4 linked regions of the Alligator mississippiensis genome follow. The protein of the gene in region 1 interacts with the protein of each later gene in a biochemical or structural test. Links are inferred from orthologs where the notes say so. Each region holds a gene or a part of one and is shown on either strand. Other genes may lie near its edges.

Evidence for each region.
Region 2: the proteins of MAPK1 (region 1) and TNFRSF1A form a complex in vitro, tested with the Homo sapiens proteins (2 studies listed by BioGRID, with this or other methods). The link is inferred for Alligator mississippiensis from reciprocal best matches to the Homo sapiens genes MAPK1 and TNFRSF1A.
Region 3: of the proteins of MAPK1 (region 1) and JUN, one has a biochemical effect on the other in vitro, tested with the Homo sapiens proteins (2 studies listed by BioGRID, with this or other methods). The link is inferred for Alligator mississippiensis from reciprocal best matches to the Homo sapiens genes MAPK1 and JUN.
Region 4: of the proteins of MAPK1 (region 1) and GAB2, one has a biochemical effect on the other in vitro, tested with the Homo sapiens proteins (2 studies listed by BioGRID). The link is inferred for Alligator mississippiensis from reciprocal best matches to the Homo sapiens genes MAPK1 and GAB2.

The regions. Positions count from the first base shown.
Region 1 is NC_081833.1:15,153,405-15,161,226, reverse strand, and holds the start of MAPK1 (mitogen-activated protein kinase 1), read left to right. Parts: upstream 1-4,808; 5' UTR 4,809-4,976; coding exon 4,977-5,119; intron 5,120-7,822. UniProt on the Homo sapiens protein: Serine/threonine kinase which acts as an essential component of the MAP kinase signal transduction pathway. MAPK1/ERK2 and MAPK3/ERK1 are the 2 MAPKs which play an important role in the MAPK/ERK cascade.
Region 2 is NC_081824.1:254,190,711-254,197,635, forward strand, and holds the start of TNFRSF1A (tumor necrosis factor receptor superfamily member 1A), read right to left. Parts: upstream 3,016-6,925; 5' UTR 2,854-3,015; coding exon 2,815-2,853; intron 1-2,814.
Region 3 is NC_081828.1:13,377,660-13,384,022, forward strand, and holds JUN (transcription factor Jun), read right to left. Parts: upstream 1,497-6,363; 5' UTR 1,496-1,496; coding exon 533-1,495; 3' UTR 505-532; downstream 1-504. UniProt on the Homo sapiens protein: Transcription factor that recognizes and binds to the AP-1 consensus motif 5'-TGA[GC]TCA-3'.
Region 4 is NC_081824.1:464,867,223-464,875,103, reverse strand, and holds the start of GAB2 (GRB2-associated-binding protein 2), read right to left. Parts: upstream 3,014-7,881; 5' UTR 2,990-3,013; coding exon 2,918-2,989; intron 1-2,917. UniProt on the Homo sapiens protein: Adapter protein which acts downstream of several membrane receptors including cytokine, antigen, hormone, cell matrix and growth factor receptors to regulate multiple signaling pathways.

The sequences.
Region 1 (7,822 bases):
CCAGTACTATAGCAGGTAATTAAGCTTGCTGTTGACAATAGTCCTGTGCTTGGTAATCTTTTGTTTTTCTTTAAAGTCATACAGACAAGCAAATGTAAAGGTCTTTTTACCAGTTATGATCCTGACCCTGCTTTTATTGTACATCTTCAGCTCCCACTGAATCAATAGGCACACTGGATGGGGAAGGAAGACAGCAAAACGTATAAATAGAACACTGGGAAAACAGTTAGACTTTGGCTAACCTAACCAATATTGGGTGTTTTACTTAAGTATGACAGGAGGAGACAGACTGGCTCAAGGTATTCTTCTTTATGCTAAGTTCACTTTTACATTGTTAAAGCAGAGTGAAGTAGCCTTAGTTTAAATAGAAATCAAGAATGGGATTTTCAGTTCTAGGTCACCAGCTTAAATTGAGCCCAGCTTGGTAGTGACTAAAAGTTATTAGCATCTGATGCACTTTTGTAAGTTTTAGGATTGTTCCCTGTGGATCAGTGCTCACATCTAATCTATTTAAGCTTTTCTATCACATTTATCACCATGGTATCTGAGTGCCTTACAAGTTAAAATATATCTTTTTAAAGTATCTTACATATTTTACATTTCTCTCCCTTCGCCCCCACACACAGGTTTGGGGTGTTTTGAATAACCTGGGGAAGGTTATGTAAAATCCATGCCATTTCTATTTTGTTCGGAAATCTGGGAATTTCATGGTCTTTTTGAGATGCTCTAGAAATGGATTCCAGGCTTCTAAACCAGCTGCCAAGAAAGCTTTGTTCCTTGTGCCTCCCTATAAATAACATCACCTCCAAAATGCTGGCAGCCTCAGGGGCAATATTGATAATTCTGAATGAATACAGAGATGGAACTATGCTTTGCTGCAGGGCTCAGGAATGGGGTAGGGTGGCATGTTGCTGTTCAAACTGTACCCATTCTGTGGATAAACAGAGAATGGTCTATCCTGGACTGACAAACTCTTTCAGTAGTGCATTTATTTAACACAAAAAAGTTAGCAGTTAAAATGGCTATGGGAAAACGGGCAAAGTTAAGATCATCTAATCCTACGAGAAGCCCATCTTTAGAAGCCCTGAACGTAATAGGGAAACAAAGTTAGTCCACGCCATGACACATTTAACTTGACTGCTTTAATGATTAACCTTTTCTTTCTGTGCCTTTTTAATAAAGATACAGAATCTTGCAGGATATGACTGCATCTGTTTGGGGCACAGATATTTTTCTCCTGCTTCCAGGTACTGACTTTTTGTTAAAAATACCCTCTTTAAGACTGATCCTGCAGAGACTTAGTCATGTGCTTGACTTCAGGTCAGGGACTTCAGTAGCCCTACTGAGTTCCCCAGACTACTCTTGCTTAAAGCACATGCAGGGGCAGGGCCTCAGTGTCACCTCATTAACCTAAATGAGTGATTTTGAATTAGCACGCAATGTTAGCATGGTTAGGGGTGCAAACATGATTCACAAGATTAACTCAGAAGTATCAAATCGGAATCCATCCTGTTAAAATCATCCTGACTAGTTGTGGGTTTTCAGAGTTCTTCAGAATTGCTCTGTTGTATTTCTACAGTAAAAAACAAACAACTGAGAGCTGGCACTTTCTGAGAGCTGCCTCAAGTCTGAAAAAAGGTTGACAACCACTGACCTACACAGAAGGATCCAATGTGAACTACACGGTAGTGAAAATAAATGTGCAGAATAAAATGCATGTGATCCCATCCATATCATGTCTCTCTCAGTAAGTACAGTATATTGCTTCATGAAAACATAACAATCCTGTGCAATAAAAATATTTTCTATAGCAAGCATATCTTCTGAGCTGCTAGTTTGTTTTTAATTGGACCAAATATGCACTTGAATGCATGTTCAGGTTGAGCACCATTGTACACTCAGAGGGGTTAGCCATTTTTTTCATACTTTACTCATCTGCCTGATTGGTTTCTTTATCAATTTAACATATCCAAATTAAAGTGGGAAATATACTAGGTGTGCAGTAATTTAAATTTTGGAGGGTGGGGGGGTATAAAACTGGTTTGACAGGTTGTGTTTAAGCTACATTCTCCATAATCATTTGTTTTGCATTGGCTGATAACAGATTTGTGTATGTATTCAGAACTATAAGCACACATTTATTTTTAAAGGTGTTGAGAGCCTTTTTGTCTTATTTTTATTTACAGTTTCAGGAATCTGAAACATTTATTCACATCTGCTAATGCCTGAAATTTCTGAGAAAAATAATGCCAGGATTTTAAAGTAAAAGAAAAAACTGAAAGGAGAGTTTTAGATGAGGGGGAAATAAACACATGCAAAATAGCAAAGGTACATATTCCATTTAGATGCAAGCAGAATAAACCACAGAGTAAGTGGGTGCGTCAACACAAGACACTTAATGCATAGTAGACTAATTCTACTGTGCGTTAGTGTGTCACGGCAAAAACCATGCTAACGCAGTAGAACTAGCTTTCTGCACATTAAACATCAGAAAAAGATGGTGTGCTTTTGTTACCATGCATTAGTGCCAGCTACAGTGCATTTATGTAGTACCTCATATTGGAGGTACTAAACTTAATACACTGTAGCAATGGTGCATTAATGCTTTTGTAGACATGCCCAGTGGGTATTAAATGCAGGCTTTTCATCATGGGATATTGCCAGCTACATAGGACAGTTTTGACTCAATTTAATGGCGTTGCAGCTAAAATGGTGACGTACTAAGAACTCAAACATCAAGATAGATGCTCTAAATCAGGGCTCAACAACCTGTCTCAAGAGTCAGATCCAGCCTACAGACCCACTGGATCTAGCTTTGAGGGACATGGGGCTTTGGCAGCAGTGTCTCTGGTTGCTGTGACAAAAAGTGGCCATTGTGGCTAGGTCCAAGTGACCATCCACTCTGACCTGAACCGGGTCAATGTGGTCCGCAGCCTTAAAAGGTTGCTGATTACTGCTCTAGGTTGCTGTTTTGCTTACAGACACTGTAGTCGAAACAGAAATATTATTTTCCTCTTGGTTGCTGTCCATATGCTGAGCCAAATGCTTGGGGTGAGTGGCTGTTTAAAAGGAGAGAGAACAATGTGTTGAAATAAGGTTTAATGGCAGTTGGCACCAGCTGCTGAGAATAAGGTCTGTTTTGGCCCATGGGAATGAGAGCTGGTGTGGGGCAACTAGTAAAAGCAGAAGGGATGTGATGCTGAAACAGCAGCTGGAGACTGATTAAGTGCAGTGGCTAAAACAGAGCTCCCTTAAAGAGAAAAGACAGGAATTGTCAGCTGAAAGCCAAGTGTAGTGTGTAAGAAGCCTTGTCAGAGATCTGGACAGAGAGGGGAAAAAAAGGAGAAGGCAGAAGATGGAACTACTGAGAAATTAAACAGAGGATGATTACCTGCTGGCCTCCTAGTAGGGAACCATTAAGCAGTGCAGCCATGTTACTGGTGATTAAACAGCAGAAGAGCTTGCTGCTCTGGTCACCAGCCTTTCGCACCTCAGCCACAGGACGAAAGGTGAGACCACAGCGAGAATGCTGCGCAGAGGCATACCGACAATGCCCCAATTTGACAGCATACTCAAATGAATAGGGCATTTCAAGCAGCTGTGTAATGCAACATTAGCAGAAAATGAAATGGCAGTTTGGTTTGCAACGAGGCAGGCGTAGGATCTTCAAAGCCAAGAGTCCTATGGAAAATAACACAATGCTCAGAGAAGTGCAGCAAAAACTGAGAGAACTCTAAGGCCATTGTACACAGCCCCTGCAAACTTCCACATCAAATCAGGGCCATTTTCTTTACAGGCAAAACAGTAAGATAGACATTATTGCAACCAATGATCACAGGATGGTACAAATTATAATAAATGTGATGTTCACATACTTCTTGTTCTGAAGACAAGCTTATATTTAAATAATGTGAAAAACGAGTAATAGAAAATATAATTGCATACAAAGACAATGCTAATTAAAGGTTGCAAATCAAGTGCTGTGAAGTTCGGGAGATGCCAGAAGCAGAGTTGCTATGCAACTATAATTCAGCTCCTTTCCATTAGCATTGGGCCCACGAGGATCTGGGAGATCCTCTAATCTGATCTGCACTCACAGATGCAGGATTTTTCTGTTCTCAGAACCTTGCCCTGGATTATACCGGGAGTTTGCAGAAGGGTCAGGAGCACGACCCAGGTCTCTGGGTCCCAGGCGGGCGCATTAACACAGGAGAGCATCCTCTCTCCTCCTGCCGCGTTCGTTCTGGGCCTCAGCAGGCAGTGCATGAGCCTGCAGTCCAGGGGTGGGCAAGTACTGGGGCCCGAGGGCCACTTCGGGAGTTAGGTGAGCTGTCCCGGGCTGAGTCAGCACCGCGCCCCACCCCACAGTCTGCCCCCGATCGTGGCCCCGCCCCGCACTGCCACCATCCCGTGAGCCCGGCCCCAGCCGCGCACCCCGCCCGCAAGAGCAGGAGCAGAAGCAGGGCGGACAGACCAGGGTGCCCAGGCACCGGCTAGAAGGAGCTGCCACACCTCGGGCCCCTAGGAAGCGAGTCTGGAAACGCGCTGCCCTGCAGGATCACACCACAGCCCAGGGCACCCCCGCACACCGCACACCACCCCCCGGCGGGGGGCCATGCCGTGTTGTGCCCGCCTGGGCAGGGGGAGGTGAAGGCGAAGGCGGAGCGTGCTGGGCAGGCGAGACCACGCCCCACCCCGGCCACGTGACCCCGCCCGTCACGTGACCCACCCGCCGCTGCGGCTGTGAAGTTACCGCAGTGTCCTCGGCCCCGCCCCCTCCGCGCGCGCCCCGGCCCCGCCCCCCGCCCCGCCCCGCCCGTGCGCGCGCCTTCGGCTTCTCCTCACAGCGGCGGCGGCGGCGAACGGGGTCGGGTCGGGCCAGGTCCGGTCTTTCGGAGCGCACGAGCCGCCCGGGCAGTGCCGGTTACCGCGGCAGCAGCGTTTTGGTCGCCGCAGCGGCTGCCGGCGCGGACAACATGGCGGCGGTGTCGGGGGCCGCGGCTGCGGGCGGCGCCGCCAATGCGGGCGGCCCCGAGATGGTGCGCGGGCAGGCCTTCGACGTGGGGCCGCGCTACACCAACCTCTCCTACATCGGCGAGGGCGCCTACGGCATGGTCTGGTGCGTGTCCCCGCCCCGCCCCGCCGGCCTGGCCCAGCCCGGCCCGGCCGCGTCTCCCCTCAGGACGGGGCGCGCCCAAACCTGCTCCGCGCTCCCCTCCCCGGGCGCAGGTGCGAGGTCCCCGCGGCTCCGCCGGGCTGGGGCTCGGCCCTGGCAGCCGCGGGAGTAACCTAGGGCCTGCGGAGCCCGGGCCGCGCCCCAAGCCAGGCGGCCTCGTCTCCGCGGGGGGCTCCACGGTCCGCTCCTCGGGCCTCTGCCCGTTGCAGGGCCGAGTCCGCCGGGCAGAGCAGGCCTTGGCCGGGGTTACTTGCTCCCGCGAGGCTGCCCCGGCTCGGGGCTCTGTGGGCAGCCTGGGTTGGTGCTTTCCTGCTGCCCTAGTGCGGATGTCCCCGGTGCAGGTCGGCCCGAAGCCCCCGAGAAGGCACGTTCATGCATTCGTGTTTGACACCAAGGCCGGGATGGTACTTCTGTGCATCCTCCCGCTTATTTTGGAAGAAGGGTGGGGGGTTGTCACAGGAACCATTTAACTTCACGGTGACAGGATATGTTTGGGTACTGAAAGGCTGCAAGAAGTGTCAGGAAGGATGCAGCCCTCTGGCAGTTGCATCCTTTTTTTTTTTTTTTTTGATAAGGCAAATGAGCAACCTTTGGTTAATGGGCAGAAGTAGGGAAAATGCCCCTGCCTTTCCTGTCTCTGCTGTGTTAAGGTGTCGCACATTTTTCCAAATGTTCAACTCTTCCATCAGTCCTAGGAATCTGAGGTTATACCTTTAATTAAAAAATAAATAAAAATGTGCAGCTTGTTGGTATTTTCTGTAAGTGGATGTTGGATTGTCTCTGTTAAGAATACTAATTCTAGCGGGTCTAGGGGGGGTGTCAGGTAGTATGAGGTGGTATGAGTGCAGGGTGTATCCTCCTTCTGGGCTTCGTAATTTAAAGCAGTTGCTCTAGGAAGCATTGTGGCTTTTATTTAATTGCTATTCTTTGGTACAGTCTCAAGTGTGAGAGGACATGGAACAAAGTCTGTCAGTTTATGTTGTGTACTTGAGTAAGAAAGCGTTGGATTGCACATGTCCTAGTGAGGTGCCATAGCAACTGCAGTATTTTGGTAGCGCATAAGACACAAGCTACTATGATTTAAATAAGATTACTTTCCAGTTACAGGAGTTACTGGTTGTACAGATTAATGCTAGATGTGTCATGGTTTGCTTTGCTGGCAAAGTTGCATGTGCAGTTCTCACAGTTCAAATCTGTAGAGGCCTTTTCAGTTTAAGGAGGCGGGGTGGGGGGGGGTTCTATTGCATTGCAAGTAGATTTATCTAACTTTTAATGAAGAGTTGTGGCTTTTCCAGTCAAGGAAGTCCAACTTAATATATTAAATCTGGCAATTGCAGTTATTTGTGTATTGTACTGTGTGGTTTCTTAGTGTGGAAATGTCAAGTGATTTTGACTCTTACAACTCTCCAGGGTATAAAGGAAAATATAGACCAAATAAGCCATTTGCTTGAATGTGTTCCCATTCAAGTTGTCTCTAATATGGAAACCCTTAGGCAGTCAAATGCCTGCCTTTATCTCAGTTGTCCATAGTTGGTCCAGGTTTTGAGTAGAAGCAGAAATTGAGTAAAAATACAATTATTACAGCACTACATGGCATAGTGTTCTCAGGGTGTCCTTTTTCAATATTAGAGCAAATAACGACTTTGTGCCTTGACTCTAGAGACCAGATTCTGTCTTGTGTTGAATTCCCATTGAAATATTGTGCTGAGAGATTAGGATATGTCCTTGTTCCTAGGACAAAACTCTAGGCTCTGCCTCTCCTGATGGTCTGTCGACGGGGGTTAGCCACTTCATAATTACTTTTTCTTTTCTCACTGTTTGTTTTTGTTCCTTTTACATAATAAAGACAATTATGAAAGAGAAAACATGGTGCAAACAACCGAAATGCGAGAGTTAACTAAAACCCTAATTAATTTCCAGGATTGAATCTCAAGCAATTTTGAATTATGTCCCAACAAATAAGAATATATATAAATACTGCATTCAGTCTAACGTACATAGTTGTTTTATCTAGTTTTTTTCATCTTTCCAGATATGCTCTCCATCTTAACTTTTTTTTTTTGGCTGGGTTAGTCATTTAACTGAATGTTTAAAATAATATTCATTTTTTGGAAAGGGATAGTTAATATCAGTGTTATGGGTTTTTTACTCTGCTTTTTAACCCATTGTTCCCCATCAGAATTTCTGCACGTGGAGTATTAAAGCAACAACAGATATAATACATATTTAAAAAAAAAAACCATAAGTGAATGCAACTGGACTAAATGATCAGATCTTGTACCTATCTCAGGTTCCCCATTGTGTCTTTCGAGTCATTGATAACATTGTTTAGCTACAGTATAAAGGTTAAAATAGGCTAGTTAAATCTTTATAGCATAGCTGTTCTTGATGTGAAATGACTCTTAATGGCAGTTTTGATTTTAGGGTGCTCTGCTTCCTGCTAGTTCCATCAGAATTGACCTTATGGGAGAAGTTGTGAAGAACTGTCCAGTTTAATTTTAATATACCTATTGTTCCTCTTGAAAAGCCTATTCATGAACTGATTTAAAACTGGAAAATTAATGAAGAAGCCACTTCCTAAAATAAGTATTTCCTCAAAAAGGTGAAAAATAGGAAACTTGATTACATTGATGTTTTTGTGGAAAT
Region 2 (6,925 bases), on another chromosome or scaffold:
TACCTCTCAGACTTGCAAAAATAAGCCTGGCGGCTCTAAAACCAGAAGGAAAAGAACCCAAATGTATTAGATTTTAAAAAATCATGGTTTTGTGGGGAAGGTCTCACTTGCAATTTTTAAATGATTGTGGCTGGTAGTAAGGCTCTCTATTTTAATAACATGTCCCCTGAGCCGGATTCCTCACAGCGCAAAACAAGTATTGCCACCAAACCCTGAATAACTGAGTACTACACAGAGGGCCATGGGTGAGTCAGAACAGAGCCGTCTCTCTGTTGAGTCAGTAGTGACCCTTATCAACCCCCACATTTACAAGGGTAGTTTATAAGAGTGGGGAGGTGCGTGGGGTCAAATTCCCAGGGAAGTGGTCCTCGCCCCTACCTTGGGCAAATTCAAGAGAAGGTTGGACAATCACCTGTCTGGGGTCTTGTGAACCCAGCATTCATTCCTGCCTGTGGCAGGGGGTCAGGCTCCATGATCTGTTCAGGTCCCTCCCAACCCTAGCTACTATGAAACTATCAAATCGCAGGAAGGAAACCCCTTAACCCTTTAGAGGTGTAAGAGGCTCCTAGCTGATCTTAGCACCTCCGGGGTTAAATGTTCAAACTTGCAACTCCCAGAAGCAAGTGCTGCCATTCCAGTAAGTCCAGCCTCCTTCCTGTTGAGTTGGGAACTCAGGAACAAACGGAAGCAGCTTAGCAGCTTGTGAAATGATCTGCTGCTGCTGTGTCAGGGATGGGGCAGAGGTGCATGGCAGCTGCTGGCTTGAGAACCTTGTGCTACAGTAACCCCTGGATTCACTTTTTTCACAAAACATTATTCAATATTTAGCCATGAAGAAGCCACTAGAGCTAAGAAATAAAACTCATCCTTTACTGACTCCTCTGAGTCACCTCACTATTGCACAGGCCTTGAAGAGTACTTCTGACACACTCCACCAAGACTCTGGTGCTCGTACACACTCCACCACCCTCACAGCAGTCCTACACCAGACCTCTCCCCCACCCACAGGCCTATGGTACTGCCTGTGGGTCTGAGAATGGTCCCATCCATAGTGGCAAGCTCCTTGAAGACTCCCAAATATAGTTTGACACCCTCTCCCTCCCTTTCTGCAAACATCCCTGAGACCACTTAACACACCTCCTACCCCAAGGTCTCTAAGTAAATGGTTTACTCTTATACAGCCACACAGGGCCAGATTCCAGACCATCATTAAACACCATTTAGGTGCCCAAGTGTAATTTTATTCTACACTGCTCAAGCTCCTGAAAAACATGAACATGGGTAACTTTGTAACACACCATTGCCTTAGACTTCAGACTAAATCTGAAAAGAGCAGCAAGAAGGAGGAGAACCCATTCACCTTTCTCTTATTTTTCAAGAACTTGAGAAGTGGAACAGCATTGCACTTTGGTGCTCAGTAGATGCAGTACTATCAGGCTAACAGGAATAAGCAGGAAGACTGGAAATGACACCAGGTGCACATGGTGGGGTAGAGGGCACTGGCTATGCTTGAAAGGGGAATGAGAGGGTGTTAGGGAGTGGTACTTGGGGGGCACTGGATACATGGGGAGGAAGAACAGGAGATACAAGAGGGAGAAATGGATAAAAGGAGACCTGAGCTGCTGCAGAACACTGGACACAAAGGAAAGGGGACTAGGCCTAAGAAGGGGTTGGGAAAAGGTACTGGATTCAGGACAATCCATGGAAGTGGAGGCACTAGAACTGTGAGCATTGACAGGAAAGTTCAGCACTGCATTTCCAGCAGAAATCAGAGACCTCAGAGCAAGTGTGTCAAAGATCAAACTTGCCAGCCAGATCGGGCCTGCGGAGCTCTATCAGCTGGGCCAGGGTGCTGCCTGTGGGTCTGAGAAAGGTCCCATCTGCCAATATGAGGAGCATGCTGGATCGGTCCCACATGCTGCATATGGCATGAGGCCAAATCTTGTGTGTGCCAGACAGGGTCCAGCATGCGTCCTGTATGAGGTGCCTGCCCTGAACCGGTCTGCAGGGCCAGTCTGTGGGCCCAATCCAGCCTGCAGACTGGCTCCACACTACTCATCCAGCCCACGGGGCCTAATGTTTGACACCCCCACCTTAAAGGGTTGTGGAGGCAAGTGGGGAACCTCAGGAAAAGCAAGCTCCCTCACTGCTGAGCAAAGTGTTCTTTCCTGTGGTGAGCAGATAAGGGAAAGCAGGATCCAGGTAAGTGACAGCACCTCAAGAAACATAGTGCAAGCCTTCAATTTCTCTTAGGTTTCCTTTTATCCAATTATCACATGGCTATATAAACAAGTTACTAACGTACACTCTAGAGCAGGGGTGGGGAATTATTTCGGCTGGTGGGCTGCTTACTGAGTTTTGGTGAGCTGTAGAGGGCTGCACGCACAAAAACTTTACAAAGATATTTTAGGTAAGGGAGCCTCTGCCCAACAAGCATGCCAGCTTGAGGACCATCACAACTCACTGCAGAGGCCAAAAAAGAGGCTCCCTCAGCAAAGGGCCCCCATGAGATGGGCAGAGGGTGACTTCCACTGAGTTACCCTTTCTACAGACAGGGAAACGGCAACACACAGACAGACAGGGCTCGAAGAAAGGGCACGGGCAGAAATACAACTCAAACAACCCTGACATCCCTTTTCCCTGTCAATCTGCCAGATACAACAGCTCCAAACACGACCCAGGAGATTTGACTCCCACCTCCTTTTCAAACCCTCCCACACCTAGCGCCATTTCCACACCTGGCACACCCCCCACCCTGGTCCCCGCAAGCTCTGATTCAGCCTTAAAGTCAGCCTCTCTCAAGCCCTCACTTACCATAATAACCAAGCCCACTGAGGGCTCCAGCGGGGCCATGCTCCTGCGATCTACGTCCCCATGGCAAAATCCCCGTGTCCTGAAAAGCCTCCCAGTCTAGAGACCCAGAAAAGGCCTCCCACTCCAACACGGGACTCACAGAAGGAGTGAGACAGATCGAAACTATCAGTGCCTGCAACTTCCTGCCAAACCAAGAGAGGCAGAAACAGGAAAGAGGGCGGGTGAAACATGGGAGGCAATATCAAACTGTACCCCTCCCCCACCATCCAATTTAACCCTACGTGTTCCACAGCACAGTGAGACAGAAATTCAGCACTTGCCCCCATTCACACTGCCCTCCCCCATGAGATAGAGACCCAGTCCCTCAGCTAAGCTTACCTCAGATCAATTCTTCCCTAGGGCATAGGGAGACCCAGGGAAGCAGCTTTTTTTTTTTTGGAGAGGGGGAGCAGAAGAGTAGAAAAAGTACCCACCCCTTTGCCTCTAGGAGAGCACAGGATTTGTTAACTCTTCCCACTCATCAAGGCTGAGAAGGACCATGAGCTAGCCCCAAAGCTGTAATCAGGAAACAATTTGAAGTGTAAGAACTCTGCACAACCAACTCTGACCTATTGCTATAAATCCCAATATGCCGGCAGATGGTGCTCTTTATATTAACGATCCACGCAGAAACTTTTTAAAAGATTCTTATTAAGGGGATCACCAGCAAGCTCTGTATTTTGGTTACTTTGCATTTTAAATGACAGAAAAAGAAGATACTACTTTTTAACAGCGCTACTACCTCAATTGTTTGCAGCAAGACTCTGGAGTTTAACAAGGGATAGTCATGGAAAATGTAGTTTCCTTGTCTCGTGAAAATCTGTTCAGATTGGGAAGAGTTATAAGCTATTGAAAGATGTCAACTGTCTCTCATGCAACTGTGGACAAAACTCCATCAACCCTTCACATCCATCAGACTGAGCGTCACCTCAGTACAGAAAAGTGCCTGGGTTTATGAGAATTAGGTTACTTCAACTCAGTGACGCAGCATTTTAAGGATGTCATGTTGTTCTCCATTATCTCAGCCTGCATTTAAAAACAAGAAGTCTTCTCCGAATTATTGGTCACGAAGGCTTTCCAAAACACTGTGAAGCAAGTACAATATATTCTAATGCACAACCTTGATCATCACCTCTGCAATGATCAAGTAGACATTAACTGTAAATGAATGGACTGTGCCATAGTAAGAAACACCAGCAGGGTTTTATGCAACTGATCCTGCTATCAGAGTTAAGGTTTGGTATTAAAGTGCAAGTTTCATGAATTTAGAGAACACTTTGAAACTTAAAGGTGGCAATAAATGCTGGGTTTTTCATTTTCTTATTCCCATCCCTTTTAAGGTTGTGTGTTAAAAACAGAGCTTTGGCTGATAATTAATTCATTACTAATTTAATAACAATCCAACTGAGTAAGCCTTGTTAATAATGGAAAATGGAGTGCTCTAAAGAAAAGTCAGTAGTGGTCTATAGGATCACAGAATGAAAAAAGTGCTCACTTGCAGATATGAAACAAACTGTAATAAAAAGTCACATTTCTCAAGATTTTCTAAGATTTGAGTCTTGCTGACCTTTTAATATATTTTAGCAATGTGGTTACATTAAAAGGGGAAACAAGAAAAAATTAACATCTATTTGCCTTGATGGTGCAAAAATGGTAGGGGTGCACCGATAAACATTTTCTTGGACAATATCGATAGCTGACTATTAACCAGCCATATCAGCTAGTACTGATCAGATAACCGATTTACAGGAATGCAGCCAGGCAGCGTGGAGAGCAGCGTTCTGCAGGTAAGTCTGTGGAGTGGAAGAGGTGTAGGAGAGAGAAGGGGCATGGGGGGCAGATCGAGGCCCTGACGGTGAGGGAGGGAGGGAGTGGGGGCAGGGGCTGGGGGCACTGCCCAGCCAGGACAGTGAATGGGACCTGGGGCCAGCGTAGGCAGCTTGTCCAGGTGATCAGCATCCTAGTGCTTAAAAATGGTGGTGGGGGTACTTGAACTAAAGCTCATAGTTTGAGTGCCACCACCACCATTTTTAAGCACGGGTACACTTCTGATGGGAGTGGAGCTGAGAAGGGCAAGGGTGGATGTAGGCTGCTCGCTGTGGGCTCAGGGCTTAATGCACTGTTGCCTTTGCCCTGGGGGCCTCGCACTGGCCGTGCATCCCCTACCCGCCTGGCAGAGAGACGCACAACTCACCACCCCCACTACTGCTGAGCGGGCAGGAGATGCATGGCCGGCACGGAGCCCCCAGCGCAAAGGCACCAGAGCAGAGAGCCCTAAGCCCACAGTGGACAGTCCGCATCCACCCCACACACAAATCTGGGGGGCACATGCCCTCCCCATGCCTCCCCCAGGGGGGTGTACACAGCAGTGGGGAGCCACCCCCATGTCCCCGTGCCCCCCGGACGAGCCACCTGTGGCTTCGTCCTGCTCCCTGCCCCAGGTCCCATTCACCCCCCTGGCTGGAGTTCCTGCCCCACTCCTCCCTCACTGTGGTAACCTCAATCTACCCCCCCCATGCCCCTTCCCCTCCACAGACTTACCCGCAGGGCACTGCTCTCCACACCGCCTGGCTGCACTCTTGGCCATGTGACTGCGCGCATGCACGTGGCATCTGGAGGCCCAATATTATATTTATTGGTGACATTATTGGCTACACTGGCCAAAAAAAGCCAATAGCCAATAATGGTAATTTTTCTTTTATCGGTGCCAATCCAATATGGCACCAATATATCGGTGCACTTCTAAAAATGGTTTAAAATAAAAAGTTAAAAGCACTTAGAATATCTCCAGGCAAGATCAACCTTACTTAATACCTGCCTTAAAAGACTGAGATGAGTAGAAATAAAAATAACGTGAAAACAGTATGATAAAAATGATAATGGAATCTCATTTGCTTGCTGTCCGTTACATTTGTAAATTCTTTGGGACAAGGATCCTGCCCTCATTTTTGCTTTAAAGCTCTCTTCTTTTGAGATTCAAAAGGTTGCATGAATTTCATTTGCTGCCCCCTTGGCTTCTCAAGGGCACACGTAGCTTCTCAAGGGCACACGAGAATCTTCTGCTTGCATCTCCCAAAACCACACAGCAGGACTGGAGAGGAAAATTTCATAGCAGCAACTCCTTGCCTGTGAACAATACGAGAGAGGAACAGGGTCTTCCCTGTACAATTATCTTTGTAGTGCAATCAGAAATCCTGTGAAGCCATTAACCAAAATACTAACTTGATCCTACCTAGACATGAGAATATTGTAAGTATGGACATGTCATATACTGAAATCTGGAGGAAAAAAAAAAAGTCTAACACTTAATTCAGGCATTTAAACCTTTCTAGACTAAGTCAAGGCACCTTTTCATTGATTTTCTTTATAGAAGGTTTGCTCACTTACTAGATAGGGGCTACTAACACTGTGCAGAAGACAAAAAGTTATCATCACTATGCATCGTATAATAATTCCTCCTTCTTCACCTCAAACTTGAGATAATTTTGCTTCTTCAGCCCCAGAGTTTCTGTAATATTGAACAGGAAAGAAAAAGCCAGGAGACTTGCTAGGCGACAGCCAGTTCTGACTTTAGAGATGGAAAAGACATGTCTAGTTTTGTTTAGCTTGTTTCCTTGTGTGAACACAGAATCAGAGAAAAGAAGGGCTGGAAGGGGCCTCTGGAGTTCACCTAGTCCTTCCACCTGCCTGACATCCCATACAAATCCTTGTCTAACCCCTTAATAAAACTATACAATCAATGCTATCTTGCAACCTAACTTACCACAAGGAAAGCAGGGGGACAATGGCGATTAGTATCCTGCTCCTGGAAGGGTTGTCAAACATGACCAAACAAAGATCATTCCCCAGGAACCAGGAACAAAACCTCAAATGTGCTTTTTAATAAAACCTATGGGGAAAAAGTCAGTCCCCAAAGGAAAAAGCCTTTGCCAGGTTTCCTCATGTCATTTCATAAGTGAATAGGTCCACTCTCATCCTCATCAAGTTTTTCAGTCTTCAGAGCTGATCAAAGTTCAGTTGAAGCCCTACAGTTCTTCATATTAGCCTCTCCACATTCCCCTTTGCTTTCCCT
Region 3 (6,363 bases), on another chromosome or scaffold:
ACAACATAAAAATAACTTACAAAGTCATGAAGTAGTTTATTGACATTAATCAGCTTTCATAAAATAATAATAATAAAAAAAAGATATGTACATACACAAATTTAAGTGAAGGCAGGCAGTATAGTTCATTTTTTTTTTTCCTTATGAGCCTCCCACAAGCCTCCCTCCCACTTTTTTTTTTTTTCCTTTAAAGAGAGTACTACAGAAAGCAAACTACAGTCTCTATTGCAGTTTAACCTTTAATACTGAATGATCATCGAATGTTAGGTCCATGCAGGTCTTGGTCAGTGTTAAAACAAGAGATCTGAAGTCTCCTCGGAGCAGGCACAGCACTTCTCAGAGCGGTGCTGCTGGCTGCTTCACCCACTCGCTCGGACTGAAGGCTTGCCAGTCTTTCCACACATGCGCTTGGCGGGGCGCAGGCAGGACTCAATGCCTTTCAGCTTTTACCATTAGCTTTACGTGTCTGCCACTTCTGGGGGGTTTGTTTGCTCTACCACAACCTCATTAGTTCTGACTCGAGTCAATCTCTTCAAAACGTTTGCAACTGTTGTGTGAGCATGAGCTGGCACCCACTGTTGACATGGTTCATGACCTTCTGCTTAAGCTGTGCAACCTGTTCTCTGAGCATGTTGGCAGTGGATGCCAGTTCTGAGTTCTGGGCTTTCAAAGTTTTCACTTTTTCTTCCAATCTGGCAATCCTTTCCAGCTTCCTTTTCCGGCACTTGGAGGCGGCGATTCGATTTCTCATGCGCTTCCTTTCAGCCTTGATCCTCTCCTGAGACTCCATGTCAATGGGGGACAGCGGAGGAGTCTCCCCCGGCATTTCAGGGACAGTCTGAGGCTCTTCTTTCAACGCCTGGAGCCTGGGATGCTGCACCGGCATCTGGGGGTTCATGTGATGCTGTGGTGGCGGCGGTGGTGGCGGCGGGTAGCCCATGCTGCCCGGCGTGTAGCCGGGGGCCGAGGTGAGGGCGTTGGGGTTGAAGTTGCTGAGGTTGGCGTACACCGGCGGCTCGCTGTGCAAACTGGCATTGAACCCGCTGTTGCCGGCCATGGAGGAGACAGGTGCCATGCCGCCGCCGCCAGGTTGGGCGGCCGAGGTGACGCTGGGCACCGTGTTCTGGTTGTGCAGCTCGGCCAGCGCCCGCACGAAGCCCTCGGCGAAGCCCTCCTGCTCGTCCGTCACGTTTTTGGGGCAGAGGAACTGGGTGGGGGTCGGCGTGGTGGTGATGAGCCCGTTGCTGGACTGGATGATGAGGCGCTCCAGCTCGGGCGAGGCCAGCTTGAGCAGCCCCACGTCGGGCGAGGTGAGCAGGTCGGCGCTCTTGTTCCTCAGGTGCGGCTTCAGGGCGCTGGCGGGGTCGGCCAGGTTCAGGGTCATGCTCTGCTTCAGCGCCTTGGGGTTGTTGTATCCGTAGCCACCGCTCTCGGGCGGCGCGAAGGCGGCGTTCAGGGCATCCTCGTAGAAGGTAGGCTCCATCTTTGCAGTCATAGAACAGGGGGCCAAGGGCGGGCGGGCCGGCACCGGGCAGCCGGGGGGCGCGGGCCGGCCCTGGCCTCTCCCCTGCGGGCAGGAGCCCGAGTCCCGCTGCGCTGCGCTGCGCTGCGCCGCCGCCGCCTCCTCCTCCTCCGGCTGCTGCTCGCGTGTGTCCCGAGACGCCGCAGGCCGAGCCGAGCCGAGCCGGGCGCAGGGGGCAGCGCTGGCGGCCGCGCGTCTGAGCCCTTTCGCCGCGTGCAGCCCGACACTTATCAGCGACCAGTAACCCCCTAAAAATAGCCCATGATGTCACCCCGCGGCCTCCCCATTGGCTGCGGCCGCCGGGGGAGGGGGCGGGGCGGGCCGGTTGCCTACGAGCCCGTCTCCATGGCCACCCCGCCCCTCGAAGCTTCTCCTCCCGCGCGCGGGGCAAGCCGGGATGAGGTAATGCGGACCAGGTCGGCGCGGCGCATTGTGGGCTGACGTATTGTTTTCGAATCTCCGGTTGCCCGCTGAAGAGGCGCCCGAAGGGGGCGGGGCTTCCTTCGGAGGTAGATACCAAGCGGGGCGGAGGGGAGGGGGGGCACGGGGGTGACGCGGGGGATGATGGACTCTTCCCTACTCCCCCCCCCGCCTGGATGTATGGGACGGGCCGGGGGTTCCCGCGGAGGGGGTGGGGAGCGCGGTTGTCACGTGATTTCCCCCCTCCCCCCTGCTGCCGGGCAGGGTCGGGGGCGCCGCGGGAACAGTGCGGGAGGGGGCTGTCTGCTATCCCCGTGCACCCTCGTGTGCAACACCCTGGCACTGCTTCCCGTGCACCCCGTGTGCAACACCCCCGCACTGCTTCCCGTGCACCCCTTGTGCAACATCCCCCTGCACTGCTCTCTGTGCACCCAAGTGTGCAACACCCCCGTACATTACTTCCTGTGATCCCTTTGTGTAACACCCCCCGCATTGCTCCCTGTGCACCCCTGTGTGTAACACCCCTGTGCATGACACCCCCACATGCTGCTCCCTGTGCACCCCCATGTGTAACACCCCCCTGCACCATTCCCCATGCACCCCTGTGTGTAACCCCCTGTGCAGCCCTGTGCGTAACACCCCCTGCACCACTCCCTGTGCACACCCATGCGCAACACCCCGCATACAGCTCCCCGTGCACCCCCGTGTGTAACACCCCTGTACTGCTCCCTGTGCACCTACTGTGTGTAACACCCCCCGCACCACTCCCTGTGCACCCCCACGTGCAACACCCCCCCCACACCACTCCCTATGCCCCCCCCCCGGCACCGCTCCCCCATGTGTAACACACCCCGCTCTTGGCTCGCTGTCGCACTCCCTCAGCGCCCTCCCGCATTTAGGCTTGAAAGTACAGTTCAGGGCCTCGCCACGCCAGGGGTGGCTAAATCGGAATAAAAAGCAAAAAAAAACCCCTGGATTTTTTCTGTTGGCAAATGACAAAAATACACGCGCCCATGGCTCCACGTGGTTTTATTCATCTATGGATGCGTTCCTCGTGTATTCAAATGTTTTGAGTTTGTAAATTGGGGCGGAAATAAGGAAAATCCAGTTTTTTGTGGATTGTTTTTGTCTGACGGGGCCTGCTAACAGGGACGGTTATAATCGTGTCATGATCCCGCGTGGCCTTGGGCGGGGTGACGTCAAGAACCAGCCCCTGGCGGCGTTCGGGGTCAAGAACCAGCCCCTGGCGGCGTGCGGGGAAGGGGACGCGGGTCGGTCCCATGTGCGGCTCTCCTCCGCTGCCACCTTTCGGTGCCGCTCTCTGGCCATCGTAGAGGACAGTCCAGTTGTCCTCTATTGATATGAAACCGGACGCCTTTATGTCCTCTGTTTTTTCTCCAAGAAAAACATCAGATGAGAACAAGAGAGGACATAAAGGCATCGGGTCTTCTCAAAGAGAAAAAGAGAGGACATTAAGGCGTCGGGTTTCGGACCGATAGAGGACAGTGTAGCAGAAAAGCGGACTGTCCTCTATGATGGCCACCCTCGCCCCCGCATGGGCCTGTTGGACGCATGACGGGATGGCGGGTCTTGCTCTGGCAGAGCGACGGGGAAGTGCTCCAAGGGGGGTGCTGAGCAGAGCACACCAGACAGCATCGGCTGGCCCTCGAGCCACTGTGACAGGATGCTGGACTGGACGGACCTAAGGTCTGACCCAATAAATAGCAGTTATGTTGAGCCTTTAAAGGTTCTGGCAGTGCCCCCACAGCCAGGGCTGGATGAACCCTTTTGTAAGCCCGAGGCAAACAAGCTCATGGACCCCGGGGCTGGTCAAGACCCCTCTCCCCACCCTGGTGCTGCTGCCTGCGGGGAGCAGGGCTCAGAGCGGCCTCTAGGAAGCAGCTGCCGCAGTGGCGAGGCTGGCGGAGGGAAGGGGAAGTGAAGGGAAGGGAGGCGGACAGGGCCCTAGGGATGTGCCTAGTTTGCTTATGCATGAATCCAGCCCTGCCCAAAGCTTATAGGTGGCGGAAGGCTGGGGCTTAGCCCCCCCAAACTAATTTTGCAGCAGCCAGCGACAGCACCAGCACCACGGCACTGCTGTCCCACAGCACCCGGCGCTGCTCCTCCAGCACCGCGTACAGCACCAGCACACACCGGGTCTGCAATAAACCTGCAGGGGCGTGGGTCAGCCCCCCCACAATAATATTTATTCAGCTCCCCACAATAATATTTTTCCTGCCACCAGCACCACAGCCTGGTTGAAATCTCTGGTTTAAAAGCAGCAGATTCACTAAGTTGAGTCCAATACTCTTGATGCTGTGTTGCAACTGCATTGGTTCGGTATAAAGAAAATGCGCAGTCCTTCAAAGCAGCTTACGGGGCGAAGTTTCAGGCTCACTCTTGTACCTGTGAGCTGCCCTGTGGAGGTGAGATGTGTATGATGTAGGCATCATGTTGTGGTATGTTAAGGAAGGTATTATGGACTGGATAGTGATGTGTTTGAATATATTCTGATGTCCAACATTGGATCAGACTTTCAGGAATGCACGATTTAAGCAGGAAAACAGAGCCCAGTGTCATGGTGGAAGCTACTAAGCCACAGAGGTTGGAGGCAAGCCTTTTCGGTGAGCATGTCACAAATTAGCCCTCAACAGCCCCAGGTGCCACTCCTCTGCCTCATCTCATCTGCTGTTCTGCTTTCTCCTTCCTGACCTATCTGCTGCTGTGGTACCTGCCCCCTCTCACACCCACAGGTGACCCGTGTCATTTGTTGCGTGCACATGTTGGTCAACAGGAAAAGGAAAAGACAAAGGAAAAGAGCTAGGAAAGGTGGGAGAGTCACAGCAAGGAGCCTGGTATACCAGTCACCTGGCTCCAGTATATCTGAGAATGGGCTGAAGGAAAACAAGGATGGTAGAAGAAGGTTTTGTGTTTTGCAAACAGTCAGAGAGGCTTATATACAAGTCAGGGGCTAGATCTGATCAATTTCTGGAGCTCAGAAGAAGATGTAATGAGAAATCTAAGGGGATTAAACAGGGGTCCTTGGGAGTGTGAGTTAGTCTGTTGACTGGGACAGCAAGGAAGTCCTTCTCTAGCCTGGTTGTAAGTACAGGCAGTCCTCAGACTTACAATACAATTGGTTCCTGAAAACCGCGTCTTAAGTCGTAACGTCGTAACTCAGAACCGATTTTCTCATAAGAAACAATGTTATAAATGGGGGATTGGTTCCTGAACCAAGGCCCGATACCCTATTTTCACCAAAAATACCCCAGAATTTTATACTCGATCAATTATAGTTGAGTAATATAGCTACATTAATGTATTTATAACGTAAATAGCAATCACATTGATTTGGAAGGACTTCTTTGAGGTGACTTTGCTGGACATTTTGAAGGGCTCTTGGTTGGACTGTTTGAAGGGTTCTTGGCTGGAGTCTTCTTAGCAGTCCTGGCTGCAGGTTTTTCTGGAGTCTTGTCTGTTTTCTTAAAGAAAGTGTCCAAGGAAGTTTGGACAGACGTTCTCCAGGGAGATGAGCGACGCAGCAAACTTGTTCGCTGGTGTGGCGTCACATCAGTTCAAGCATTGTAAAGCCGAAACTGACATCAGAAAGTTGAAACAGGGTGTCAATTTATAAACGTTGTAAATGCAAAACGTTGTAACTCGAAACGTTGGAAGTCGAGGACTGCCTGTATTCAGATCGAGTGCTTGTAGCTGTAATTACTGTGTGAGTGAAGTCATTAATAACTGCTGCAACACTGCCATCTAATATACAGTTAGTTAGAAGGTTTGTCTAAAGTAACTGTATGACAGTTCTTGTGTTTGGGTTTGATAAAGGGATTTTAGCTCAATTACTGACATGGTCAATCAGATTCCAGCAGTTTGGTGTAATCGGGAGGATACCAGTCAGTAATCCTGAAAGCCTGTAGATGGAAGGATCATCATCTGTCTTTCTTAGGCAGCAAATAGTTCCTCTCCAGTAAACACAACAACTTACAGGACAACAGGGGTGGTACTGCACAGCAAAGAAATACTGGATGCTACTGGGAAAATGTTGGCATGTGATGGGTAATGCTTGAGAAATTTGAATGGGAACAATCCATGCAAAACTGGAGGAAACTTAGAGTTGCCATTCTGAGTAACCCCAAGTAGGAAAAGGCAGAAGTAAAAGCAATCATCCTTCAGGGCCTGCGTTTGGTACGTGGAGTGTACTACTACCCCAGGAGATGACTGTAAGAAGTATGAGAAATAACGTAAAGCTAATGAGGGAAAGATCAGCTTGAAGTTACACCTCCCTCCATGAGAGGATAGCGGAGTTGACATTTCTTGCATCTCGTGTAGGATTAGAAATTAGTGCCTGGGAAAAGAAGAAACTGAAGTTCAAGTTAAGGCTGAAGTGAGTAAGGTGAAGCATTGCAAAGTTG
Region 4 (7,881 bases), on another chromosome or scaffold:
GCCTGCCACTGAAAAACACACCTTCCTCTGCAGTGACTCAGAGTCTATGGATTGATGCACAGTGCCAGTTCATCACCAGTTAGGGCTGGAAAGGAAGGAGCAATGCCCCCTCCTGCCTTTGAATCTGGATGGCAGCAATGCAAGGCGAAATCAGGCTAGGGTACTGGGTTCAAACATCCCTCCCCCTCCCCCCAAGAGGGCTCCAGAGTTTAGATTTTGGGGTCCTTGAGGAAAGTGAGGCCACATGCAATGCAACAGGAGGGTGATCAAAGGTAGAGCGCAGAGGAGGGCCTTGGCTGCTGGGTTTATTACAGAGCCCAGAACAACCCTTTATAAGGGTCGAGGCATTTGGTTTTCAGACTCCAGACCTTGTTTATGTCCTCCTGGGGGAATACTGTCATTTCGTGCTAATGCAGAACCTTCCACCCAGGGGCTCTGTGCACGGCTCTGATAAGGTTGCTCAGAAGGGAAGGCTGGGTAAATGCTGCCACCACCTTTTACTAATGAGCAGCAGGGAGTAAGACATAGTAAGAGCGGAGAGCAACATTTTCAAAACCAGCCGGTCACTTTTGGCCCCCGGCTTGAAATGCAATAAGCCTGGGTTATGAAATGCCAAGCACTCGGAGATTTCCTTGGAATCCAAGCAGCTGTGCTTGGTTCTTCTGCAAATAACAAAATAATTAAAAAAAAAAAAAGTTAGTAGCTGCTTTTGGTATAGCTGGCCTAAGCGACTTATTCAACCTCCTGTAGGAAACCAGGGCAGGTATCAAGACTGTAATCCAAGTCCAAGTGACGGTGTTTCTAGGCACAGGGTATCTAAAGATCCCTTCAAAATGTATTTGCTGACAGCTTCCTGTATCACTTCCTATCTTGCACATGCTTGTAAGACATTCTGCATTTCACCCCAGATTCAGCTGCCTTTCCCTGAAGGTTAAAGGCATTTTCAAAACATAGGTGGTTTGCAAAGTACTTTGCATGTCCATCCGTCTGAAAGACGCTCTTATGCACATCAATAATTATCGTTAACCTCCAGCACGTCACACCCTCGTGCCTAACATTTAACAAATTTACCCGGCTCTTGTTGGAATGCAAGAGCACAAGCTGGATATTCACAAGGCAATGTGAGTGCTCTTTCATGGGAGAGACACTGAAGAGCTAATGACATTTGATGGGTTAAGGCCATTGGTGAGTCAGTGTTGGCAATTAGTTTATTTCTGTGGGAGGAAGGTGCTTTGCTTCATTAAGCTAAAAGCAGTCCCTTTGCTCAGTCTGTACCAGACACCCTACATGCAGACAGACATCGGATGCTAAAATGCTGTTGTTGCCTTGATCACAATATGCCTAGTGGGCAGGATGGGAAAAAATCCTGGATCCACCCGAGATTTGTTCTGTGGCTGTCTGCAAATTTCCCGGTTTCAGGAAGGTAGTTAGGGACCACCACACTGACAGGTGTGGTAATGGGAAGGTAATTAGATGGAGTCCCAGTTCTGGAGTAAGCAGATCCAGCACCCCTGAAGTCTAATGCCATTTATTGGAGGGCTAACTGAGTCATCACCTGGGATCTTGGTTTTCTCCCGATTTTTAAAAAATCCCCAACTTTTGGTTAAAAAAAAATAACCCCAAATCCACATTTTTCCATGAATAAAGTGAAATGCCACTCTCTCTCTCTGCATATTAGTGGCATTTCATATAAATCATGGAAATACATGGATTTGGGGTTACTTTTTTTTTAAACCAAAAATTGAGGATTTTTTTTAAATCGGAGAAAACCAGGATCCCTGGTCATCCCCTGCCCTGCCACCACTACCAAGTGGGATTGCTAGTATAGCAGAGGCACGCTGCAATGTTTAATCAAAGGTCTAGTGTAGCCTAGCCTAGACATCAGCCCAGCCCTACAGGCCCTAAGGCTTTCACATGGGGAAGTGACTGAACATAGAGCAAGTTTGCTGATATAACCCAAGAAGGAAGACAATCCAGTGCTCCCCCCGCTTCCTCCCACGGCCCGGCGGGCTCCGAAACACAGCAAACACTTATTTTGTTTGTTTGCCACCAGTCAGCAGATCTGTTTCCAACTTCAGCCAGGGAGCAGATCTGCTAAGTCAGAGGACAGCCGCTTCGTGCAGTCGCTTTTGAGAGCCGGGTTAGGCTTTTATGGCTTGGGATGAACTTGGAGGTCCTTGGACAGAGAAGGCAAAGCCGGAGTTACTCACTGGGTTGAGTCTGAAGCAGGGCCGGCTGTTTAGACAGTCTTTACAACCTTCAGAAACCTTTTGATCTCTGGCAACTGTCATGCCGGCACTGATAGCGCTCCGATGGCCCCGCTCTGTCTTCAAAGCATTTGGCCGAATGTTCAATAATTCATACTAATGATAAAGCGTGCGTGTGTGTGTGTAGCGGGGGAGCAGCGCAGGAACAAAAGCAAGTTCACCGAGATACAGAGCTGATCACTGGGGCAAAGGTGTCGGGAGCCGCTCTCCAGCAGAGATAAGGAGAAGCATCCTCTGAACTGGAAAGGGACACGGTGCCCGCGAATGCACCGAGACCTCCCCTGAGATTGGGAGACACCCACCCTGGGAGAAGAAATGCAGCCCTTTCCCTGGGAGGTCCCCCCCCCCCCCCCCACTTCGTTTCAAGGTAAAGCCCCTGCCAAGCCCGCAACTCAGGATGGGCACCTTCACAGAGGGCACTCGGCAGTGCACCCTCACAGAGATGCCTCCGGGACTTTCCCCCCTTGCACCAGACATTTCAAGCAGGAAGACGTGCATCCATCCCCTCCGGGGAGACCCCAGCCCGACCCTCTCCGCGCCCGCAGCGGCCCCCGGCGCTGCCCCGCTGCAAACCAGCGCCCCCTGCCGGCCGGCGCGCACGGCACCAGCTGTCCGCGGGCACCCGGGACGGGACGGGACGGGACACTTACATATCTCCGCAACTTCTTCTCCGGCGGCGACTTGCGCAGCCAGCCCGAGCACACCACCTCCCCGCCGCTCATGCCGCCGGCGTCTGCCCGCGTCTGTCCGCGCTGCCCCGGCTCAGCCCGAGCCCGCGCCCGCTCCGCCTCCGCCGCTCCCCGCCTCCTCCCCGCGGGGCCGGGCTGCGCCCCGGGCTCCGCCTCCCCGCGCCGACACCGGCCGGGCAGGTGCCGCCAGCTCCGCTGCACAGCCAGCCCCCGACAGCAGCCGTCCTGGGGAGCGGCCCGAAGCAAGCGGCGGGCTTTAGTATAGGAGTGACTTCAAAAAACAACAAGCGTCCGCATGGGGAAATGCTGCCTCCCATGGATGCCCCTTTCCCCGGGGCAAATGTGCTCCCCCCTGCACCTAAAGGAAGGGGCATCATGCAGGGGAGCATGCAGGGCGTGGAGAGCCTGCCCCAAAATACCCCCCAGCCGGACAGAAAAATAGGGATCTCTGCAGGAAATGCTGCCTGCCATGGATGCCCCTTTCCCCGGGGCAAATGTGCTCCCCCTGCACCTGAAGGAAGGGGCATCATGCAGGGGAGCATGCAGGGCGTGGAGAGACTGCCCCAAAATACCCCCCCGCCCAGCATCACAGAAAAGTAGGGATCTCCACAGGAAGCTCTGACTGGCATCAATGCCCCTTTCCCTGGGGCAAATCTGCTCCCCCTGCACCTGATGGGGAGAGACTGCCCCAAAATACCCCCCAGCAGGATAGAAAAGTAGGGATCTCTGCAGGAAATGCTGCCTGGCATCGATGCCCCTTTCCCTGGGGCAAATCTACTCCCCCTGCACCTGAAGGAAGGGGCATCACGCAGGGGACCGTGCTGCGGGGCATGGAGAGACTGCCCCAAAATACCCGTCAGCATCACAGAAAAGTAGGGATCTCTGCCGGAAGCTCTGTCTGGCATCGATGCCCCTTTTTCCCCAAGGCAGGCCAGGTTCTTTGGGTCAATTTTATTAGATTGATAGCTGGAAAAATTGTTCTTTGCAAGCTTTCCCCTTCTTCAGGCGTAGGGGGAGTCTGCAGTTGTTTTGTGCTCTCCTGGATGGGGTAGAAGGCAGTGTTTGCCTTTCCCTGTGGCAAATGTACTGCCCCCCCCCCAAAAAAACAGGCTTTCTAGACGCATCAGGCAGGAGGCCTTACTTGGCATGGCTAGATATTAGCAGAACTGCCCCCCCAAAAGGCCCTTGAAATGAGCTTTCCTGGGCTGGGGGGGACTGATAAAAACTGATAAAAGTGTCATATTCTATTATTGATTTCAAAAAAGGCCTCACAGAAAAGTAGGGCTGGCAAGGCCCTCCAGAGGGAACCCTGCCTGCTACCCGTGCCCTTCCCCGGGGCACATTATCCCCCCACCTCACTGAAGCAGGGGGCTTTCCACACACATCAGGGAGGAGACTGAGCCTGTCACTGTCAGACATTAGCAGAAAAATAAGCCCCCAAAATAAAGCCCCCTGAAATAAGCATTCCTGGGGGGAATCGATAAAAGCGTCATATTTTATTATCGATTTTTAAATCCTGTCGCAGCGCCCGCTCGCAGGGGGGCTCAGCCGCCACTGGAGTCTCGGGCAGACTGCCTGGGGATCGTGTTACAGGAGAGGGTGTCGGTGCTGGAACGGGCAGCCCGCTTTCAGAGCTGGAAGGATGGTCTGTCCCCATCGTCTCCCGGTTGAAGTCCCCATTAAAAGTCCCATTTGCAGTCGCCAGGAGCAGGCTGGGCCTTCCATCTTCATTATCTCTTCCCCACTCTCATTTATGAATTTTTAAATGGTCATAGATATGGTCACTGGAGAGGCAGTTATAAATGATTCATGGGAAGAGTGTGCACTGAGGGGCTCGGCCCTGGGAACGGTTCTGATCCCGGTTCTCTTGGTTCACCCCGTTTGCTGTGCCAAGTTACTGGCACAGAAAGGCCGTGACAGACAGGGTGCAAGGCTGGGATTCGAGACGCTTTGTTTTATTCTGTGGCTCTGCCACAATGCTGCTCAGGCAAGTCACGGCAGCTTGTGGTGCCTCAGTTTCCCTTTGCATCCTTTGCCAACTTAATGGGCAGGGACTGTTTCTCATCGTGTTTGGACAGCACCTAGCACAACAGGGCCTTCATGTTGGCTGGAGACTTACAAACAACCACCCTTGGCACTTATAAACACCTCTCACCCAGGGATCTTACATCACTTTAGAGTCAGTAATTAAATCTGATGCTGTCTACTAGAGATATGTAGGACACCCATTTCTCAGATAGGGAAACTGAAAGTAGGCAACTTCATTTATTCATAAAGGCTACAATGGTTGTAGACTTTATTAATAGTTAAGACAAAAATCCTACAGGGCAGGTTATGCTGTTTGTTAGACACTAACAAAAATAGGTTTTCAAGCTCCTAATGTTTCCTCTCCCGGGGACGAAACACAATCACCAAAAACAAAAAAGGGATTTTCCCCTTTCATTGTCCAAATCAATGGATTTTGGATGGGGCCCTTAAAGTCAACGGGAATCTTTCCAAAGACTTCAATCAGCCTTTGGGGCAGCCCCCAAATCCCTGAAAGTACTGCGTGCTAAGCAGTCGGAGCAATGAAAACATGTCATACAAAGTCATTACAGCGTGTGTGTTAATGATTCATGAGCCATACTTCATACCGATGGGGTCCACTGTAACTGCCTTTAAATGATATCACAAAGCCAGTCTGGATTTTTTATGTTAACAAGTTTCAGGGTTGATGCACACCATTTGTCATCATATACCATAGATTTATAAAAGGTTAGAGTGGGGACAGTCATAGAATAAGGTATTCAGCACATTTTGTGATATTTTGTGGATTAATTATCCCATTCCCTTCCACTGTTTATATCCAGTTTGCTCAGTCAATTAGATTGCAAAATATATGCAAACAGCACTCGAGATGCATGAATTTTTTTCTTTTTTTCGTTTTTTGCCCATCCTCCCAGAGAAAAGCCTGCAAACATACATCTCAAAGACGCTCGAAATGGCTGTCATCTCTCCACCTAGATATGTTAGCATCTCTAAATGAAATATAAGCCCTGTGCAAAAAATAAAAACCTGCACACTGGATGCAAAAATAAAACCCTCCAAGATCTTACTACCTGCCTGCCTGCCTCTGTGCTGTGACTCAGTATTGCAAGAGTGAGCCTAACACATAAATTTGGCATTGCATACATGCTTTATGAATTTGCTACATCTTTCAGGTATACAATCTCTATCCCAAAGTGCTTCATAGTGTTAGACAAGAAAAAGCTCACCTTATAAGCAAGCTGATCAGTAAAGGTATCAACTGGATACCCATATAAAATGAATCCACCTCTGACCTGACAGCATTTCCAGCCATGCTGCTCTTATAACAAACAACACAGGCTGCAAGCTGCCCTCCAAGCCAACAGTGAACCAAGCTCCTCCAGAGCTGGTAGCACTGGATCTGTAGAGGGCTTGAGCTAAGAAACCAGGAGCCCTAGCTGAAGACTCAAATAGCCCCAGATCTGCTGTGGGTGGGGAAACATTGCAACCAAAAAGTTACACAAAGCTTTGGAAAATCAGTGATCGCCTGATCTGCAAGATCAGGGTTTGCAAGAGAGTAATTAATAAGGGAGAAAACATGTGAGAAGGATGGATCTGATTCAATGCATTGCAGAGGTACAGGAAAAGTTCCAGAGATGGCTTTTCTAGCAAAGTCTAGGCACACTGCCAATAAGAATGAGACAGATTTTTCTTGTTTTTACCGCTGTCTTCAATTTCCTCCCGTGTTTTAAGTTGCACAGGAACTGAAATCGGTGTCTGGAAATCAGAACTTCTACGAAACACCACCTGGCTGATTTCTGCTTTGTGCTTTGGAGTTATTTGTGCGAGGAGCTGCACCATCTATTGGAGAAAGCTGGAAGTGGCAGGCAGAATAACTCACCTTATTCTCCATTGGGTTATTGTTGTTTAAGCAATAAGGATAGCAATGCAGGGCATTTCCTGGCACTTAAGGACCAGCTGGGCAAAGTACTTGGGGTTATACATCCAGCTGGTCATTAATCCCCAGAAAATGTCCTATAGGGAGGGTGCAATTGGTGGGATAAACCTATACGCATTGGAGGAAACAAGACTTAAAACTCAGCCGTGCTGCTCTATATGGTATTCGCCTCCTTCCCTGTTTTGCTCACTATTCACATGGCTCCCATTGCAGCATGAGCTGCATGCCTTACAGCCATTAGTGAATGCACCTTCCCCAAATACCTCCCTGGAGCAGAGCTGGGCAGGAAACATTTTTCCATCCCATTAACATTTTCAAGATTTCAAACATTTTCCCTGTACTGCAGTGGGTCAATCCCAGGACTTGCAAAATCTTTTGTCTCTCCAACAAGCAGAGCATTTCCCCTTACCTCCAAAACAGTCAACAGCCCAGTGCTTAGAGCACTCATCAGATACAGCAGATCTAAGTTTAAAGCCCACTCTATAGTAAAGGCTTGAACCTATTTCCCACGTAGCAGGTCTAACCACTAGGCTATTGCCTAGGCTGGAGTTTGCATTTTCTCCCAGAGCTGAGAAACCTTTCCCAATTACTGGCAGTGTGTAATTGTAATTGGCACATTCTCACAAAACATTTCAGATGAGATGACTTGGTGTTTTCTAATTAAAAACTTTTATTAGAAAAGTTGCAAGCAACTCTACTCAGGAGAAAAGGAAGTATTGGCCTGTCCTCACTGGACTGGAACTACGATAAAGTTACTATAACCATCCAGAAATGGAGTTATGATAGTGTGTCTAGACAGATAGGAGAAAGGGCACAGGACCTGGTTTACTAGAAAATTTAGGTGCCTATTTCGATTTTGAAAGATGCCTAGGGCTGAGACATCTAACTGCAAGTGAATTCAGTGGGACTTTTGGGCTGCTTTTGAAAATGTGGCCACTCAATATATGTCTGATTAAGCTGA